2 linked regions of the Coturnix japonica genome follow. The protein of the gene in region 2 interacts with the protein of the main gene of each other region in a biochemical or structural test. Links are inferred from orthologs where the notes say so. Each region holds a gene or a part of one and is shown on either strand. Other genes may lie near its edges. The genes, in order: PIAS4 and TOP2A.

Region 1 (3,966 bases), on a different chromosome or scaffold from region 2:
GGGGCAACCTGCCCAGTTCGTTCAGGTATTTCCCATAGAGAGTGGGATAGTCAATGTTGGGGGTGGAGATAGAAGTCCGAGCCATGGCGCTCCCACGGTCGTATGAAGAGTGAATGGGGAGTGCCTCAGGGGAGCGGTGCGGCTGCGGGGCCTCGGAGCTCTTCTTGGCATAACGGGTCTCGTAGAGCTCCTTGATCTTCTTGAAAACCTCAGGGCTGCAGTCAAATTGGACCAGCTGCAATGCTCTGGTGACTAGTTCGTGTTTAAGTCCGCTTTTACTCCTGCCAACAAAACCCAGCAACATCTGAAGATCTGAGACTCGGAAACTCATCACCATGTTCTAGGGGATAAAAAAATTAAAGATGTTCTTACAGTGATACGAAGGCAAAGAGAAAGTTCTTCCTGTTCTCTATGGCTCGGAACCCACCGACCCACCCAGACCACAGAACACGAGTCACTCAATAAAGTGATAGACACCCAACAATGATTCTAACAGTGAGCACGGAGGAGAAAACTCCAACACACATCATACTGGTGTCAGTGCAGCTCAGTGTATTAACACCAGGCAGGAGCTTAAAGCACTTCCCTGAGTCTCTGAAGGGTTTAAAGAGCAAAAGAAGGGAGAAAACAGAACACTAAAGTGAAGGGGGCTGCTGGTCCTTCAGTGCACCTCTGTGCTGTTTCCACAGGCAAAACAAACCCTCTAGAGCTCTTCTTAGACATGTAGAACCTGAAGAAAGAACCGAGCACGTATATTTCCAGCTATGGGAAGAGAAGACTGAAGAGAGCAGTGCGTTCCCATGAGAACAATGCCTGCAGGCGGGGGCTTTGCCAAGCACTCCCCCACGCTCACAGCCAGCACCCAGGGCTGCTGCTGGGGATGTCAGTGCTTTGATAAGAGGTGAAAACAATCCCTACCTTCACTAATGCACTTTCCTGCTGCTGTGGGAGCTCAGGAGGCCTGGAACCATCAGCAGGTTTAAAGGGAGTCCAATGCTACAGCAGACTAGGAGCTAGAAATGGCCTCTGCTGAAAGCAGTCAGATGGACGTCATGCTTGTCTTGCATGGCAAAGGGCCATCAAGCTTATAAAGCAGGTTTTTGTCAAGATTCAAGCTGCCCTAAGAGTCCACTTGATAGCCAACCATGTGTACCCCCTCCGCAGCTTCCATAGATTGTGGAAAACACAGGAATTCAAGACCTCTGCCATCCCACAGCAAAGAGCAGAAGCAGCCATAGGACGGGGCTCTGCTCTCCCAGAAGGAGAGGGAAGGAAACAGACAACTTGCAAGAGGAGAGAAGGACATTTAACTGCTATGACAAGAGATGTGGGTTCATTGCTTTGTGATGCAGCACCTGTGTGACCCTGGAGGAATTTAGTTTGTGCTTCAGAACGGTACAGAACGGAGAGCGTGCCGTCTTCACTGGGGCACATTCAAGGATAAACGTGTATCAGCAAAGATAAGCACGGCACGGCCACAACGCTGCTCCCAGCAGCACAGCAGCGCTCCTACGCTCACTGCTCCCACAGCACAACTCACTTGGCACTTCTGCTGCAGAACCAACAGCCTTTGGGGTCGGAACCAACAGCCTTCAGCCTTAGATTCAGGACCTGTATTGCTCCAGAGCAAGTCTCATTAAACAATAACAACGTGTCACTGAGGCTGGGATCTGCATGAAGCGCTGAGATCCCTTAGCACTGAGGTCAGCTCCATCCTGGCTCCGAGCATCAGCTGTGCTGTGTAAAGGAGGCAGCACATCTCCTGCAGAGGGGTCCTGGGCCCACAGCAACCAAGAGGGGCCGAACAGCTGTGAGATGGGGACCAGAGGGCCTCATAAAACGTCTCCTTTCAGCCACATCCCTGCTTGTTGGCTGACCCCAACCCCATAGAGACCCCACTGCAGGGATGGGCTCAACCAAGCGGATCCCTTCAAACAGCTGCACCATAGAGCCAAGAGTGCCACACAACCTCTCTATGAGCCCCATAATAACTCAATATTGGGGGAGCACTGAGTGGGGGGGTCAGGAGCTCCACAGCCCCCCCCCAAACAGTGGGTGGTTATAGGTTATAGGGGGGCACTCAGGGCACTCACAGCCCCCCCCAAACACTGTGTGGTTATAGGTTACAGGTTATAGGTTATAGGGGGGCACTCACAGCCCCCCCCCCAACTCAAACACTGGTTGGTTATAGGTTATAGGTTATATATTACAGGGGGGCACTCACAGCCCCCCCCAACTCAAACACTGGGTGGTTATAGGCTATAGGTTATAGGCTATAGTTTATAGGCTACAGGTTATAGGCTATAGGTTACAGGTTATAGGGTGGGCACTCAGTTGGGCCGCCCCCCGCCCTCCCATTGCCACCACAAGCAGCCCTTGTCCCTTGTGGGCTGTGACAGGAGATGGATGCAGGGCAGCCCCGTTGCTGCCGCCCCGCCCCGAGGCCTTTAGCCCCGCACAGGCCTCATCCCGGGGATGTTCGGCCCTGAGGTAAAACGGGACAACGAACCGGGATGGCGGGGAGGGGGGGGGCGGTCCCGGGGTGCCGCCCCCCAGCTCCCACCCGTCGAACCGCCCCGCCCGCCGCCGGTTCCGCGCTGTGAGGGGCGGCAGCTGAGCCCTCATCCCGCTCCCGCCCGGCCCGGTCTCTCCGAGCCGCCTCCGCCGCCGCCGTTCACTCACTTTGGCCTCCACCAGCTCCGCCGCCATCTTGGCCTCCAGCGTCCACCGCGCCGGGAGCCGCCGCCGGGTCACGTGACGCCTAGCGGCGAGGGGAGGGGCGCGCGGGAGACGCGTCGACCAATCAATTTCGAGTTCCTCACCTCGGAGGCCGCCGCCGCAACGCGCAGGCGCAATAGAGCCACCCCGCCCCGCTCCGCCTTCCGGGGGTCTTAAAGGGACCGCGCCCCTAAAACGGGACGGAGAGGATGGAGGATGCGGGGATGGAGGGAGGACAGCAGAGCTAATGACAGCTCTCCTGCTTTCTTTTCTTTACCTGTGGGCTGCCTTACATGGGTACGGGGAGAGGGAAGGGGACGGGTTAGGACTGAGGGTCATTATATGCCTATATGTGCTTATAGTCCCAGCTTCTGAGCATGGTGATATTTGTAATGTATTTAGCCTATGGGAGCCGGTGATGGGGATACCTGCCTGGCTGCCTTTCAGCCTAATTGACATCACAGACAGTGTGCTCGGACTGGCTTACCAGTGTCCTGAGTTCCTTACGTATGGCTGGGGTGTCAGGTTGGGTGCTGTGTTGTCAGTCTCTCTGAATACAATCCTAATAACAATAATAATGGGGTCCTAATCCTAATAATAACAATAACACAATGGGGCCAGCAGCGTGTCCCTAAGTTGCAGTGAGGCTCATCAACTAGAAAACATCACTCAAAACCCATCTATTGATAGAGGGATCAGAGGGCTCTATAGATAGAGGAATCTATTGATGTCTCAATAGAAGACCTCCAGTTTTCGAGCTGATATTTGCGCTCCATAACACAGACATCACACTACTTCCATCCCGTGCCTCCATTGCAGCCCCCTGCCCACCCCCGCTCCTCCCGGCCTGCAGGGGGCGCTAGTGAGCTCCATGCCCTCCGCAGTTCCGGCCGGTGCATGCGCACCTAGTCCATAGACGCCGCTATGGGCGGTGCTCGCCCAGCCCGGCCCGGTGCCGCTTTGGACGGCCCAGCGCTCCGGGTAAAGGCGGAGCCGCTCTCGAGGCCTTGAGCAGCGCCCCGGGCACGTTGTCCGGGTTGTACCCGCTGTGACCGCGTTGTTTCCGCTGCGGGTTCTGAGCGGGGACCGCGTGGATCCTGACTGCGGCCCTCGGAGGACCTGACCGCCCGACCATAGAGCTGCCGGCAGCGGGGGGTGCTAGATAGTCGCATCTGCGCACGCGCACGCGTAGGCTCCTCCTTCCGGCCGGCGCCGCCCTATAAAAGGGGGGCGGTTGACGTCAGCGTT
Region 2 (16,541 bases):
GTTGTTTCCTTTGTATGGCAAAGAATTCAGTTAATAACTGGATAAAGCTACAAGGGAGCCAATCATCTGTTCAGAGCACTGACGTACATCCAGCTCTTCAACAAAGGCAGCAAGGTCTTCTTTCCACAGGTCAGAGGGGCTCTTGCGCTTCAGGTCTTCCAGCTCCTTTTCCTAAAGTGAATGAGAATCGTGGGTGAGCCGCATAGTTTAACCCATCATAGAAAAATAGAATGCTTTCATCAGAAAAATAAGGAGCATACTTTGTTATCTCTCTGCTTGCAGAGCTCATCTTTCTTCTCCTTAGTCAGGTACCAAAGGGGCATGTTCAGAAGATAGTTGAAATCCGGCCCCGTAGCTGCAGCTGGTTCCTGGTCACTCTCATCTCCTTCTTCTTCTTCCTCCTGAATGAGAATTTAATCAAACATTGTCAGCAAATACAGCCACATACAATGACAGGGCTGCCATGTGCTCACAGTGTCCTGGACCCTCTTAAAGCACAATTCTGAAAAGGATACAGAAGGAATTATGGCCTGAAAGCTGCTACCACACAGAGGAGACCAACTGCAAAGAATTCTTTAAAGCTCTTTTGCTCTGCCCTATTTGGCCTCTGTCTTGAGCAACCAAGTTCTTCTCAGGCTGCTTAACAATTGCCATCGTCCTTGCTGCCCTTTTACAACAAGTCGCTCAGGAAGAGCAGATCGCTTGAGGAGCACTGGAAATGGAAGCAGCAGGACTTTGCCACTGCTGGATCAGTCACCACTCTGCCTCAGTGCCTTCCAAATGAGAGACTGAACATTTCTTTGTCTCGCTTTCCCTATCAGGCACACCAGCTCTTGAATTCTCCAAATGGCAAAGCAGCTTCTGCTTCTTCCTAAGAACTGATAACGAATTGATGACTGAAGTGCTACCTTGTTTTGCAATTCCTTCCAGGCCTTCACTGGATCTGATTCATATCCTCTTTGGATAAGAACTTGAATCAGTTCTTTCTTGGGTTTGTTTTCTGTGAAGAGACATTTCAGAATTGCCAGTTAGTGACCACTGCAGTCCCTGTCAGCAAAGACAAATGACCTTCACATTTTGACTCCAGTAGTTAAAACAGTTCAGCATCCTATACAGCTCTAAAACAGCCTTTCCTAATTCGAGCTGGGACACGTGGCAGGTCCTAAAATAACACCCAAAATTTGCTATTTAGGAGCGATTTGTTAGCTCAGCATTTCTCCTGGGCTGTCAGGAACACCTGCTGGAGCACTCGAAACATTTGCTCCATCATTTCCGTACATGCATTTCCCCTGCCCTAAACAGACTCTGAGTTTGGGGAAAAAAAGGAAGCGTGATGGGATCAGAATGGTTTTATAACAGGCAGGTGGGGGAAAAAGCCCTGATGTGACTTCAAGGCTTCAGCATAGTGTGAGCCTCATTGGGCATCACTTGGGAAATCTATTCTATAAATGGCCCAGCCAATGGTAATGCGTCAGCTGGAATTTTCTTCTTTCTGATGTCGCAGAGGCAATCATCCGTGAGACACAAATACAAATGAAACCAGCTCTGTCAGCCTTGGAACTGCTTATTGCAGCAACCCAAGGAAACGCATTGCAAGGGAACGATTTCCCTTCTTGAGTCAAACAGACACAGACTGTAGGAACACTGGGCAGCCCTCAGACACGAACCACAGAGCATCCCATGACCCATTGTGCAGCTGTGCCTTCCATACATGCAAGTGAAATACAGACTGCCTTGTAGGCTGAGCTGGAGCTGGCTGAGAAGTTCAAGTGCTGTAAACAAAGACCTGTTTCTTTTTCTAGCTCATGATGCTCAGATGCTGTGAGCTTGGCTGCCTTCTAACTTTGAAACTCCACTTCACTGAGAACACAATTTGGAATATTTTGCAGTTTCATAAAGATAACACAGAGAAGATACAGGCTCCTAAGAATGCACGGGAACAGAAAACCCAAACCAACTGGGAACCCCCCCCAGCCCCCCACACCAGCACTTCTTTTCCTACATTTATACTTTTGAAGTAGTGCAAATACACAATAGAAAACCTCTGAGAGTGCTCTGTTTTAATTTATATGTGCATAACACTACAGAGGATGTTCCGTGAAGCATTTTCCTCTTCTATCTTACTAGAATGGAAAGATAAGCTCTGATGTGTTTTGTGAATAGCCAGACTGGGGCTGAGAGGGCGCTGACAGAGCTCAAGAGAGCACCTAATTCTCCCAGTTTCAAAAGCCAAAGAACCAAGAGCAGCACGTACCGATCACAATTTTGCCATCTATTTTCTCCAGGATGAATCGAGCCTGGTTGCTCAGCTTTGCAGACTCGGCACCCAGCATCCCAATAAGCCACTCTTTCCTTAACCCATAGTACCGGAGCCTGAGCTCAAAGAACTCTTTAAGGATGTCCTGAGGAGACTCGTACTTCTTGAGGAAACCAACATGGTCGAAAAGAACCTGGATGAAAGAACATGGGTTTTGTGAGCATAAAACTGATCTTCAAAACCACTGAAAGTCAGTTGTAACGCAGACATGATCCTACAGTCAACTTATTTATTAACCAACCCATTTTAAACCTTAGTGTTGTTTCAGAAATTATTTCAGCTTGCAAGCACAGCAGCAGAGACCATTTTAGAACTTAAAAACACAGAGCTAACATCACTTCAATCTTAAAGCTATTTGTTGGATCCATTTCTTGCATCTAACATCACACGCTGTCAGGACCTGGACATTCAGTGGTGTGTCCTGGGCACAGCAAGGGGCTCCAGGGACTGAGAGATTTCAGATCGCTTTGACACCTACAGTCAAATCCACACCATGTGGGACCCACTGCCAAGTCAGTCTCTTCACCTTTTAAAGGTGAATTTAGAAACTCTCTTCATCAAAATCTATTACATACCATAGAATTGCAAGTAAGACTTGTTTGAAGCTTAAAGACTTTGTGCAATCCAGCAGCTTCTGCCTGTGCAAGTTTTTCTTCTGTCATCTTCACAACAAATTTCACAGTCGTATCAGTGTGGTATTCCTTGTAGTCAGTAATTAATGGGGGGGTCTTCTCAGTTCCATTCAACATAGGTTCCAGAACTTGCTCTTTGTAGGTCTGAGAAAAGAATCAAAGTCAGACCTGTGGTTCTACAGAGATGAAAAGTTAATGAACACTAATATTCACTTTTTACTTTACAGGGCAAATTCAGCATTCGTTACCTGTGTCCATGTTCTGACAGGCAGCTCAGTGATTTCAATGGTTGTAGAATCAAGGATAGACACTTCACCACTTATCACATACTGGTTAGGTCCAAGCTCATCTATTGTGCCTTTGAAATTCCTGTAGCTGGGAAGCTAAGAAGGAAAGAAACCAAACACTGGATTGCAAGCACTCAAAAAAAAAAAAGCAGCATATGCTTCAATATATGCTGAATAAACCAACAAATGAGACGTTGATTCTTGAATACATCATTTACCATCGGCAGCGGTTCGTTTCCATCCAGCATTCGTCTGATGTTGTTTACAATCTCTCTGGTATCATAGTTTGGAAGTTTGCAAGCCCATCCAGTACCGATTCCTTCAGCTCCGTTTACTAAAACCATAGGAATGATGGGCATATACCATTCAGGCTCTACACGTTGGTTGTCATCATAAAGGAATTTCAGCAAGTTGTCATCCACTGGTGGAAAAAGAAGCCTGGCTAAAGGGCTAGAAGAGAAAAGAGAAGGTCAGACCAAATTCTCATTACACAACAGTGCCTGCAATGTAAAAAGAACCTCCAGTGTCAGACCAAACAGATCATGGCATGTTTTATTCCCCACCATATGAACCAGTCTGGGTGTTTGTTTTGCTCTCATTTCTGCATTCCATGCTGTTCCTATCTGTTCTGTAGGACAGCAAACCAAGTTCACACATCTGGATCTAGAATCAAAGTCCCACAGACTGTGGCTGCTCTTTTGTATTCAAATGGTGCAGTTTCAGATACTTTAGGGGAAAACATTACTTTTCATTTTAAATGCTGTTAAATAGAGTCTTGTAACAATGCTGAAAATACTTAACAACACTTTAATGCCAACCTTAGCATAGTGGAAATACAGCGAGGGCTGTCAGCATCCTTTCCACCATGAAGCCTGGTACCAAACTGACCAATAGGTTGTAGAAGATTAACATTGTTACTTCCAACAAAGTTCTGAGCCAAGTTGACAATAGTCATCATCAGCGATGCCTGCACGAAAGAAGGTTCAATTATAAAAGTGTTAATTCTTCACTGAAAGGACAACGTTAAGGTAAAATTTACACTGAGAACAGAACCAATATAGAAGATAAATTCAGCTAATAAAAGATATCCTCTCATATCCATCACAAATAAAGCAGGTTTTTCCCGTTCTGTTTTCTTAATGAAACACGTTCCCCTGAGCTGCAGGTAAGATGGGCAGAGTGGCCAATCTCATGAAATTGAGAGATTTCTGCTTTTCTTCAAGCATTTTGCACAATGAGCGGGTTCTTACCTCCCCATGGTGATAAGCTGACATTTCAGCAACAGAACCAGCCAGCTGAGCAACCTTTACTTCACGTTTATCATTTCTCTTAAAGCAAGTGAACAAAACCTTGCGCTGCTCTGGTTTTAAACCTGCACAGAGAAAAAAAAGACCTCGTGTTTCAGACTCACAATATGTTTCACTTATCTTCCGTTCTCTAGAGACTAACAGTAACTTAGAGACCTGAAGATTCTGCACCACTGGAGTTAAATATAGAGCAGAGAAGACATTTAATCCAAAGGTTAAAACACTTGGAAGGTAGAAAAGTGGAGTTCAGAACACAAACCCTGAAATGCACCCAAACAACCGTTCTGGTAGGACACACCAAAACATCCCTCAGTGCGTCCTGGGAAAGCCCTGTATGAAATCACTGCCTTGAAATAACTTACCATCAACCAGGGATGGGATCGATCTTTCATTATCTGAGTTTGAGAACAGGACCAACTCCTTGTTGATGAAGTCGTTGTATGTCAGGTAATTAGTATCTTTCCCATACAGGTAGTCCTAAGAAAAACAAATGCAAGAGCGCTTTAATTTTAACAAGGCTTAACCTGTTTCTTAGCTCACACTTGGCTAGTTTCACTAAAATGGAAGATCCTGGTAAGACTACAGGTAAACACAGCGAAGGTGACGACATTCTCAGCATGGAAAAACAAAACAATGCTTCCCCTGAAACACCTTCACCTAGTTCTGCTCAAGCTGCCATTTCCCTTTTGAATAAAGTAGTTTGAAAGAGTTAGAAATGGAAAGAATGATCGACTTGATGACACTGAGGTTATACAATGCAAAAAGGAGCAGCAGGTCTGCAGAATCCCAAAGCATTACCTATCAGTCCTGTGCGTAACCCAATGCCTACACTGCATCCAGCCCTAGCGTGTCAGAATTAAACTGAGAACAGGGAGATGGGAAATCAAATTCCTCCATATACATAAACTCTTTACCTCCGGCAGGCCATGCAGCTTCCGCTGTCTTCTATCCTCCATGAAATTAGTCAGCCATTCCTTTCGTTCTTCTACCTTCTTCTTACTAAAGGCCTGTGTTGCAAATTAAGAAATAATTCAAGTTCTGGGACATTCTGTGTGCCCTACTGGAACACTGGTGAACCATTTCAGGAGAAAAAATTTTAGAGGAGAAAGGAGAGGTTTAGCTCAGAGGAAACTGCAGGTAAACACACAGAATAATGCTGAAGGAATATTTACTATTGTGTCTGAAAATGTCAATTGGTTTGTAGTGGTTATAGTTTGTTCTGAGCTATATTTAAAAGCCATCATTGAAAGGGTGCTCCTGGCCTGAGGTCTGTGGACAGATTTGCTTCTACTGGTTGAACTGAGGCTGTAGCCTTGGTAACAAAGAGACCATCTCAGGCCCAAAGGCCTCTGAGAGCATTTTAAGAGAAAATACGCAGCAAAATACTCAAGGTAGTAAATCAGCAATTAAGTCAAGTGTAAGTTACCAGGGTGATGGCAGCATCATCTTCTGGACCAGAGTACTTGAAGCCAATTCGATGTCTAGCCATATCTGCAAAGTATTCCTTTGCCTCCTTCGATGTGCTGGTACCCAAACCTGCAGAACCAACAACTAGTCAGCCCTAATTTCTTGCTTCAATTAAGTTGCACTTCAAAGGAAGGCATTACTATATCCAATTTCCGTAATACATCACATAAATGCACAGCATGAAGATGGTTCTATTAAAACCTTTGCTGGGATGTAAGGTATCACAGAAGTAGTGGGGATTGAAGACAACTGGGCAGTTGCACTTTTAGTCTGGATTCCTCACCACCCGGCTGTTGTTATGCAGCTGGCAGCTCCCTTACCAGCATGCAGCCATTCAGAGCAGTTTAGGAGGGAAGTGAATTTTGGAGGCCACCTGCTCCAAACCCCCTTTTTTCTGCAGAAGCTGGACTAACTAAGTTTAATAACAAACTTGCCTTCACCATATCAGGTTTCCTACAAACCTTTGTAGTACTTGATTTTCCATGTGTTGTAGTTTTGTGTGCTGTTTTTCCATTCTTCAAACTCAGGAATGCTGTAGAATGCAATTTCTTCTTTGTTTTTAGAGACCTAAAGAGAATGAAGATGTTAATTGTGAAAGCAGATGTGGTCCAACATGATCCTATTCCCTCACCTTCCAACCTCCTCAGCCCTTACCTTTATGATGGGGGTAATAAATTCCTCCAAGAAGTTGTGTCTTAGAAGAGAAGGCCAGTTGTGATGGATGAAGTTAATCAGCAAACCTTTGATATGAGATCCATCTTGATCCTGTTTGGTGGTTTTATTTTGGAGAGAAGTACAAGTTTAACCAGAGCCCTGATGGCCGTGCCAGTTGTTAGTTCAATAATGAGGATACACACAAACCCAGCTACTGAGAACTATTAACTTTCAGTTCCAAAGAAGCAGCCACGCTTTGAGTACTGAAAGTTAACAGAAGGAAGAGACACATTTGTGGTGAACAAATTTCTCCAGTTTTGAATTTCAGTGAGCCTAACCTGATCTGTCATAATCATGATCTTCCCATAGCGAAGAGTCTTTAAAGATTCTCGATCCTCGTAATTCTTCTTATACTGTAAACCCACAATTTTGATGATGTTGTTGATTTCAGCATTTTCCATTATCTGGAAAAGATCACAAGGAATAAAAACTTTTCTACCAGACTCAAAACAGCAAAGACACCCATCGGCTGTACACCCCTAACCGTGCTCTGCCTTCCCAGAGTTTCCTCTGTTTAGAGCATCTCATTAATTCCAACCCAGTGTCTAATCTTTAAATTTCTCAGGGCTATTTCAAACATTTCCTAGAACATTTCCTAGCCCACAGCACAAATGCAAAGCACTGCCCGGGATTTGCTTAGTATTCCTGCTTAATCAGAAAGGCAATCTGAACGTGAGACCAGACCCACACCTTTGAGTTACAGCATCAAAAGCCCTCAGCTGTACCCACACTGCATGACATGAAGCACACCACAGCTCCCAGCACAGGCTATTAAGGTCTCCCCACTAACCTGTTTATGAGAAGCTTCCCTGACGTTGAGCATTTTCCCACGAAGGGGAAATACTCCATATTTGTCTCTACCAACCACTCCTAAACCAGAGACAGCCAGCGTTTTGGCTGAGTCTCCCTCGGTCAGGATGAGTGTACAATCTATTGAATTCTTGCTGCCTGAAAAACAAAAAGCAAAAACCCAAGTCTTCCAATTAAGAAGTGAAGTCAAGGCTAATATAGCACAGGCTGCAGGAGACACCATAAAATATACAGGTCTGGCTGCACTGCACAAACTGCAATGCAAAACGAGCACAAGCTGGCGTTTTCTTTAGATGATTGTTTCATTTGCCTGGTGAGCAAATGTTATCTCTGAAGAAACTGGCTACAAAGGATGTGAAATACTTACCAGCATCATTGGCATCATCCAGTTTAGGAACGCCCTTAATCTTGGTGTGCTTCACAGCTGAACATTTCTTATTCAGCTGGGTCTGAGCTTTAAATTTTACCCAGTTTAGGATACTTTCAACAATGCCACAGCCAACTGCCTGCAATGCCAACAAAATTACAGAACAAAATCAACAGTGGGAAAAGCTTTAAGTTATGTTTTCCTTTAATTCATGACTTTGTAAGCCATGTATTTGCCATGTTAGTTGCAGCTTTACAGACGTGCTGATTATCCACACACACCAATACTTACACCCTTGATAAATTTCTCACTCAGCTTGCACGTCGAGCCAAAGCTCTTGGCCTGCAGAGTCATATTCTCTTTAGTCTGAGAGTCAAAGGTTGGGTTTTCAATCAAGCAATTCACAAAAATCCACATGTGATTCTTCACCTGCAGGCAAACAAGACGAGCATTACAAACTGCACAGGCTCCACTCCCTGGAACAGCAGTGTTTTCTTCCTGAGAATCACCTGTCAGCATCATGCAGCGAGGAAAACAAGTTCAATTATTGCTGCGTGGTTTTTGAACTTTCCTAGATGTCTTTTGGCAGAATTTAGGACAGCTAATGAGTGTTCACAAAGTTACATGATTTGGGGTGCCAAGACATCAGCAGCCCTCCCACTAAAGAAAACCTAACAGCTACTGAGCTGTAATGCTTCCTTACTGACCCAGAGCACTCTGATTGCTGCAGCTAAACAAAGGGAATATGGCTTGGTGGCTTAAACTGGAATATATGGGGCTTCTTTAGTTGGGAATTCTGACATCGCACCTGAAACGGTTTCACTCCAACTCCATTTTTGTTCTTCTTTTTCACAACATCAATGAGTTTAGTCACAATCTGGTCAGCTACGTAATCAACGTGCCTGCCACCCTGGGGGAAAACGGGACCAAAGAACCTGAGGTGACTCCACTGAACCAAAACACAGAGCCAACAACAAAGAATATGAAGTGAATGTGAGCACGGGAGCAAAAGAATCACCTTTGTGGTGGCAATGCTGTTGACAAAGCTAACTTGCTGGAATCCTTTTTCACTTAAAGTCAAGCACACTTCCCACCTGGAATTCACTTCCTCATGAATAACCTTAAGTGCATTTCCAGTCTCATCCACTTTGTCCTTCAGATAGAGGTCCACGTAACTGCGGAATCCTTTCACCTACAAATGAAACCAGACAACTCATCTGTAACAGCTCCTATAAATACTTAATGCACATCCCCCTGCAAAGCCAGGAGGAAAAATTGCTTGGCAAGCTTTCATTTTATTATGTGCAATGGCATAAACTGCTTCAACAAAACTTCACTGGTAAATGTCATAAGAAACACAGATGTTCCCCCATTTAAATGCTCACTTACAGGCAACTTCTTCCCATTCAACATAACTTTGACTCCTTTGCATGACCCAGCCAAATCATATGCTCTTCTTGTCATCAGGGACACGATGTCCTTGTCAAGAATCGACATTTTGAACTTTGACAGATCAGGTTGGAAGGTGACACACGTGTAATCCTCCCCATCAAAATGCTTCAGTGTCATTTCACCGGCCTTCCCCATGTTGTCTGTCCAGGTCTGAGGAGATGAGTTGTTGTCAGTTGTGAGTGTAACAAACACAAGAAAGCAGCACAGTATCTAACAGGTACCAGGTTAATTCTAGTCACAGCAATGACACCTAGATTCACATAGGAAAAACTCAAGTCATATTTGCAAATCTCAGGTGTGACCTCACTGAAATGGGCAGTGTTCATACCTGCTTGAACAGCTTTTTGTATTCACGACACGCAGTCTCCACGGTAAATTTGGTGCTGAATATGTTGCACAGTTTGGCTCCATAACCATTTCGCCCACCTGGATTCAGGAAGAAAACATGTCTGAGTTGTTACCTTTGCTCAAAACCACCAGAGAGAACTCCAGACCAACAAGAGCTCATTCATTTCAGCACCAAGTATGACTAACAATAAACTGTCCCACAAACCCTGCAGCCACTATAAAGCTGCATTTAATTAACACCAGTTACTCATATAGGTACTTCAGTTCCCAGATCACACAGTCAGGCTGCCCAGGTACATCTGCACGCTCTGCAGTGTTCCCTACCTGTGACTTTCTTCTCATCATCATCGTAGTTGCTGGATGTCAGCAGCTGCCCAAAGATTAAAGCAGGAACATACACTTTTTCTACTTTGTGTTCAACAACTGGGATACCCTTCCCATTGTTCCACACACTGATGGTGTTATTCTCTCTGGAGGAGGAGGAAAGTATAATTTGTAAGGCTGCAGATGACTGAGCTCTGAAACAAATAGACAAGATCTCCACAGGAAGGCCACCATTTCATCTACAGACAGATTCCTGTTCAGCAACTGCGGCAGCAGCCAGCAGAGGGAGGGCAAGTCTACAAAAAGCCCTCCAGCTTCAGACCTGCAGAGCACCAATACAATGGAGCAGCACACAGAAAGCGTGTGCTCAGTGCAACCACAGCCTGGCAGTCAGTGCTCTGCAACAGAACGAGGAAGCACACAAGGAATGAGGCTGTTACAGCCCATGAGCCACGGTAGGTTTAACATGAATAGGCCTCGACACTGAGCTCTGCAGCACCTACATCAACAGGATGATGTACATACACCAACAGGGCAGTGAGGGAGTGAGAGAATGAAGCAGCTGAGGGGGGAAGGCATTGGACAAAAGCAGCACTCACGGGTCGATGGTAACTTTGATGCAGGACATGCTTTTATCCCTCTGCTTGTTGTCTGCAGCGTTGACTGGAAGGGGAAGGTGACTTTTATTAGAGCGCATTCACAAGTGGGACAATAGACATAAACCATAGTGAAAGGGCTAAATCAGGTGGGGTTTTCAGTAGAACAAATGCAAAGATCCAATGCAAAACCACCAATTAACTCTTTGGAAGGGAGATGTTTGGCAGGTTACAAAGAAGGACGCTACAATAACAGCACCCACAGCAGAACTGAGGGTTAAACGGGCTGTAACACAGCGGCCGTGTCCTTTGGAGGGCAGGTACAATGCTGGGCTGCACTCACCCAGGATCTCATCGAAGATCTTGTACAGGCCAGGCACGAAGGTCACATCCCTGCAGTTGAGGCCCACGTCCTCATCGAACACCCACATTTGCTGCAATGAAGAAGGAGCCACATACAGCACACACATACACCACATATAGCACATATAGCACATATATCACATACACCACATATATCATATATACCACATACACCACATATATCACACATGCCACATACATTACATACACCACATATACCATATATACCACATACATTACACACACCACATATAGCACATATATCATATATACCACATACATCACATACACCACATATAGCACATATATCATATATTATATATACCACATGCATTACATACACCACATATACATACCACATACAATACATACACCACATATATAATACATACCACATATATCACATATACCACATACATTACATATACCACATACATCACATACACCATGTATAGCACATATATCACATATATATCATATATACCACATACATTACATACACCACATACATTACATATACCACATACACCACATATACCATATTTGCCACATATACCACATATATCACATATACCACATACATTACAGACACCACATACATTACACACACCACATATAGCACATATATCATATATACCACATACATTACATACACCACATACATTACATACACCACATACACCCCATGTCACATACATGTCACATACACCCCATGTCACATACATGTCACATACATGTCACATACCACATACATTACATACACCACATATACCACATACACACCACATACATTACATACACCACACACAGCACATATATCACACATATATCACACATATATCACACATATATCTCACATATATCACACATATATCTCACATATATCACACATACATCACACATACATCACACATACATCACACATACATCACACATACATCACACATGTATCACACATGTATCACACATGTATCACACATGTATCACACATGTATCACACATATATCACATCACACATATATCACACATGTATCACACATGTATCACACATGTATCACACATACATCACACATACATCACACATACATCACACATACATCACACATACATCACACATATATCACACATATATCACACATCACAGGTCTCCCCACCTGCGTGACGGTCTCCACAGACCCGATGTACGTGTCCGGCCGCAGCAGAATATGCTCCAGCTGCGTCTTCTTCTGGTAGATGCGCTCCACCGAGAGCCGCTTCTGCGCCACATCGGCCTTGGGCAGCCGGGCGTTGTCGTGAAGGGGCTGCGGGAGAGAGCGGAGCTCAGCGGGGTGGGGAGGGAGGGATGGAGGGAGGGTCTGGTCGGTCCCTCACGTACCCGGAGCGGCGCCGGTGAGTCCATGAGCTCCATGGCGGCGGGCGCGGAGTGATGGCGGCCGGTAACGGCGCAGCGCGTTTCAAACCTCCGCCGAGCCCGCCGAAACGCTCCGCCAATCACAGCGCACCGCCCCTTGAAAACAGCCAATCGCTGAAGGGCGGAGGGACGTACGGCCCGCCCTCCCGTGCGCTCCGCTCTTTCAAAACCAGACAGTCGGGAGAGGGGGCTGCTTGATGGGCAGGTCTGGTAACCAATAGAGGAGCGAGGAAGGAGGGCGCTGCGAGGCACGCAGTACATCGTTTGGGGGGCGGCGGCGTGCGGGGCAGTGCGGGACTGTGCCCCCCCAAAACCATCCTCAGCACCACGGCGGCATCCCAGCCCCATATCCAGCCCCATATCCAGCCCCATATCCAGCCCCATATCCAGCCCCATATCCAGCCCCATATCCAGCCCCATATCCAGCCCTATATCAGCCCCATATCAGCCCTATATCAACCCCATATCAGCCCCATATCAGCCCCATATCAGCTCCATATCAGCCCTATATCAGCCCAATATCAGCCCTATATCAGCCCCATATCAGCCCCATATCAGCCCTATATCAGCCCCATCCCAGCCCTATATCAGCCCCATCCCAGCCCTATATCAGCTCCATATCAGCCCTATATCAGCCCCATATCAGCCCTATATCAGCCCCATATCAGCTCCATATCTGCCCCATCCCAGCCCCATATCTGCCCCGTATCAACTCCATATCAGCCCCATACCTGCCCCATATCAGCCCCATCCCCGCCCGCCCATCCCGCCCATCCCGTTCATCCCGCACGGCGGTTCCATTCGGTTCCATTTGGTTCCATTCGGTTCCATTTGGTGCCATCCCGAACGCAACAAATAGAAGCAGCGCGTTGTAACCGCCCGATGTGCAGCTTTGATTGATCCTTTATTTATATCCGAGGAAACGTGGGCGCTGTGTGTGTGTGGGGGGGGGGGGGGGGGCTCCGTGATGGACGGGGTGTCCGGTGTCCCGCTGCTCCCAGCCGCAGCCCCCCCCAATTCCGGGGGTCTCTCACCACATGTGTCGGTACGGGAAGGCGACCTCCACGCACAGCACCGCCAGCTCCTCGGAGCAGTTTCGGCGCTGCCCGGCCAGCAGCCGGCCCGGACCCAGCGGGGCCGCCAGACCCTCCCCGGGGCCGGAGCTCCGCCAGCCCTGACAGTCCCGGCGCTGGGAATGGCCGCCCCGCCCCGTGGATCCGTGCCACGCCAACCTGCGGGGCCTGCGGGGAGACGGGATGACGGGGAGCCCCGGGGAGACCCCCCGACATCCCACCCTTCGTGGGCCGGGACTCACCAAAGGGCATCGCTCAGCACGTTGCGCCCATTGAACGTGTAGATGGGGCTGCGCAGGGCGGCTCCAGCCGGGCTCTGCAGGAGGGAGCTCCAGGAGCGAGCCAGCAGCTGGCCCTAAGGACACGGGGGGGGCAATGAGCTTTGGGGGGGGGCAGTGAGCTTTGGGGGGGGGACAAGCGTTCCTCAAAGCCCGCTGTCCCCATTGCAATGGCTGTGGGTGCGTCTCGGTGCAAGGAAAACACACGGGGAGCCCGTGCTTGCTGGGGGGATAAAGCCCTGCCTTCAGGTTGACGATGGGGAGGGTCCTGTCCGTCCTCTTGACGATGGAGGCCAGGTCCTGGCTGGGGGCCGACAGGAACGCCCGGAAGGTTCCGTAGAGCCCGGCCTCGTGGGACTGCCGGTAACACTGCAGGTCGGCACCGCGGATACCGCTCATGTCCCCGGACAGGGGCACGTTCAGGGCCACCAGGCGGAGCTGCGGGGACAGCAGGGGGCAGAGCGTGGGGGGCCGGGGGTCCCGGGGTGTGTGCCATCATCGCACACCCCATGGGGCACTGCAGCCCCCCGCGCTGGGCACTGAGATCGCTTTTCCTATGCAGACCCACGGACACGGTGGGTGGAGTTGGGGTCCCCAGGCAGCGTGGGGTTGGAAGGGGGCAGAAAATGGGGCAACGCTTACAGAGGGCATCCTGGGGGCTGCGGTGGTCGGCGGGGTGCTGGGCAGCACAGCTCCGTCCTCCTGCAGGGCCTGCAATAGTGGGGGATGGCAGTCTCAGTGCCCAGGGTGCTCCCATTGCCACCCGGGGTCTCCAGGTGCCACCTCCATCCCTCTGCTCACCACTGAGTCCGCCCGGACCCCCGAGGGTGGCTCTGTGCTGGGACCTCGTGTCCGTGCCTGCTTTGCCTCCTGCACGGAGAGGGGAGGGCAGTCCCAGGGGGGCACCCCCCCCGGGGGTCTGTCCCTTTGCCTCACCTGGTATTGTGCTGTGGCGGCGGAGGGGTCGTCACCCGCAAAGAGCGACTCCGAGTCCTCCAGCTGCAGAAGGGCAGTTAGGTGGGACCAGACACAGTGTGTGTCCCCCCCCCCAATCCCATGACGGTACCAGCAGCCTGCTCCAGCCCCGGGGGGTGCGCAGGAAGGCGCTGCTCCCCTCCCGCACGTAGACCAGGCTGCCCTCGGGGATGGCGCTGCTGGACTTCAACATCAGCTCCTTCGACCTGAACACCCACGTTTGGCGCTGGGAGGGACAAGGAGGGGGGTCAGGGCCCAGCTGACACCCCCTGCCCAGGGGGAGCCGCCTACACATTGGGGGTAACCCATGGGCACAGCCCCCCACGCACCTGGAGGTCGGCACTGGGCTCCAGCGGCTCTGGGTGGGGAATATCAGCATCTGGAGAAGCTGGGGAGGGTTTGGGTTAAAGGTGGGACTGGAGTTGGGTTGAGGTTGGGTTTAGGGGCAGGGTTGGGGTCACGGGGCACCCCGATACCATGGGGACACCGGGACAACCCCATGGCCCTGGTGCAAGGGCACGAAGCTTTGCAAAAGTGCTTCCAAGGAGGCAGGAGTTCACCCAAATACCCGCAGAGCCCCTTACCCACTGCCCAGGCTGCGCTGGCCGCTGCCTGTGAATGCAAACGGGGCTGTTACTGCTGCTGGGACACAGGGGCACGGCGGTGACAGCCCTTAGGGAGGGGGCAGCAGCTTACCGGCTGCTTGCAGGGCTGCTGTCCTCGTATGGGGTACACCCGCTGTGAGCAGAGACAGGAGGATGCACGGGGAGAACCTCGCACTGAGCACAATCACACACGTGTGCACTGTGGCACAGAGGTGTGCTGCCTGTGCACGGCCTTACATTGAGGTAGAGGAGTCCTGGGGCTCCAGGGGGGCCGGGGGGACCAGGGGGGCCGGGGGGACCTCGGGGACCCTGCAGGAAGAGCAGTGTGGAGATGTGGGGCAGAGAGACTTTTGGGGTGGGCGGCTCTATGTCACACTGGGTGCAATGTCTCACATGGGGAACGATCGCTCCGTAGATATCCGGCTCCTCCTTGTGCTGCAGACAGAACATGAGCAGATGGAGGCTGAGCTCCTCCTGCCCACCCCCACCGCCCCCCATCCCAGGACTCACCAGCTGGTACCAGGTGCTGGACTGGCTGCCAGGGCCGGGGAACGGGAGGTGGCCTGGTTTGCAGCCGGGCTCCCCATAGCAGCAGCCCTGGGGGGCACAGTGGGGCAGGGTCAGGGCAGATGGGAAGGGCACATGCCCGGTGTGCAGTGTGCCTGTGCTGCAGGACATGGTGCACCTCACCAAATCCTTCCCCCCCCTGCTCCCCCCATGCAACATCCCCTACAAACCCGCTCTCCTGGATCTCCCTTTTCACCCTGGAAGAAAGCAGAGCAGTCTCATAGACACCCCGATGCAGGTGATCCCAGCCTCATGAGCACCCCAAACCTGGTGCCCGTTGCTCTGCTCACCTTGGGACCTGGTGGGCCGGCTGCTCCATGGTGCCCAGCATGGCGTGTTTCACACTGGGACGATGGGATGTACAGGGTGAGTGCTGGGCACTGCAACCACCCTGAGCACCCCCAGCCCCATACTCACCCTGTAGTCCCCCGGTGGCCCTGGTGGTCCCATAGGACCAGGCATCCCTGGGGCTCCCATCTCCCCGGTGCGGCCAGGGCTTCCTGGCATGCCTGGCAACCCTTGCTCACCCTTATCACCCTGAGGGGATGCAGCACATGGGGCAATGATTCTCATGCCTCCCCAGGGCCCCGCAGCAGCAGAGCATGGAGCTGGATGTGTTCCGCTGCCCCATCCCACCCCCTGGGGTCT

What was found.
Region 1: of the proteins of TOP2A (region 2) and PIAS4, one has a biochemical effect on the other in vitro, tested with the Homo sapiens proteins (2 studies listed by BioGRID). The link is inferred for Coturnix japonica from reciprocal best matches to the Homo sapiens genes TOP2A and PIAS4.

Annotation. Positions count from the first base shown.
Region 1 is NC_029543.1:789,525-793,490, forward strand, and holds the start of PIAS4 (E3 SUMO-protein ligase PIAS4), read right to left. Parts: upstream 2,801-3,966; 5' UTR 2,710-2,800; coding exon 2,683-2,709; intron 341-2,682; coding exon 1-340.
Region 2 is NC_029542.1:4,094,821-4,111,361, forward strand, and holds the start of TOP2A (DNA topoisomerase 2-alpha), read right to left. Parts: upstream 12,672-16,541; 5' UTR 12,657-12,671; coding exon 12,360-12,656; intron 12,286-12,359; coding exon 12,139-12,285; intron 11,056-12,138; coding exon 10,965-11,055; intron 10,689-10,964; coding exon 10,625-10,688; intron 10,172-10,624; coding exon 10,026-10,171; intron 9,780-10,025; coding exon 9,682-9,779; intron 9,504-9,681; coding exon 9,291-9,503; intron 9,094-9,290; coding exon 8,920-9,093; intron 8,812-8,919; coding exon 8,710-8,811; intron 8,331-8,709; coding exon 8,193-8,330; intron 8,041-8,192; coding exon 7,902-8,040; intron 7,673-7,901; coding exon 7,515-7,672; intron 7,129-7,514; coding exon 7,003-7,128; intron 6,776-7,002; coding exon 6,665-6,775; intron 6,578-6,664; coding exon 6,472-6,577; intron 6,080-6,471; coding exon 5,970-6,079; intron 5,551-5,969; coding exon 5,458-5,550; intron 5,021-5,457; coding exon 4,906-5,020; intron 4,609-4,905; coding exon 4,487-4,608; intron 4,204-4,486; and 16 more. Other genes in the region: collagen alpha-1(III) chain-like, read right to left, coding at 13,426-13,636, 13,711-13,823, 13,990-14,184, 14,389-14,457, 14,548-14,616, 14,683-14,745, 14,813-14,947, 15,051-15,109 and 8 more. UniProt on the Homo sapiens protein: Key decatenating enzyme that alters DNA topology by binding to two double-stranded DNA molecules, generating a double-stranded break in one of the strands, passing the intact strand through the broken strand, and religating the broken strand.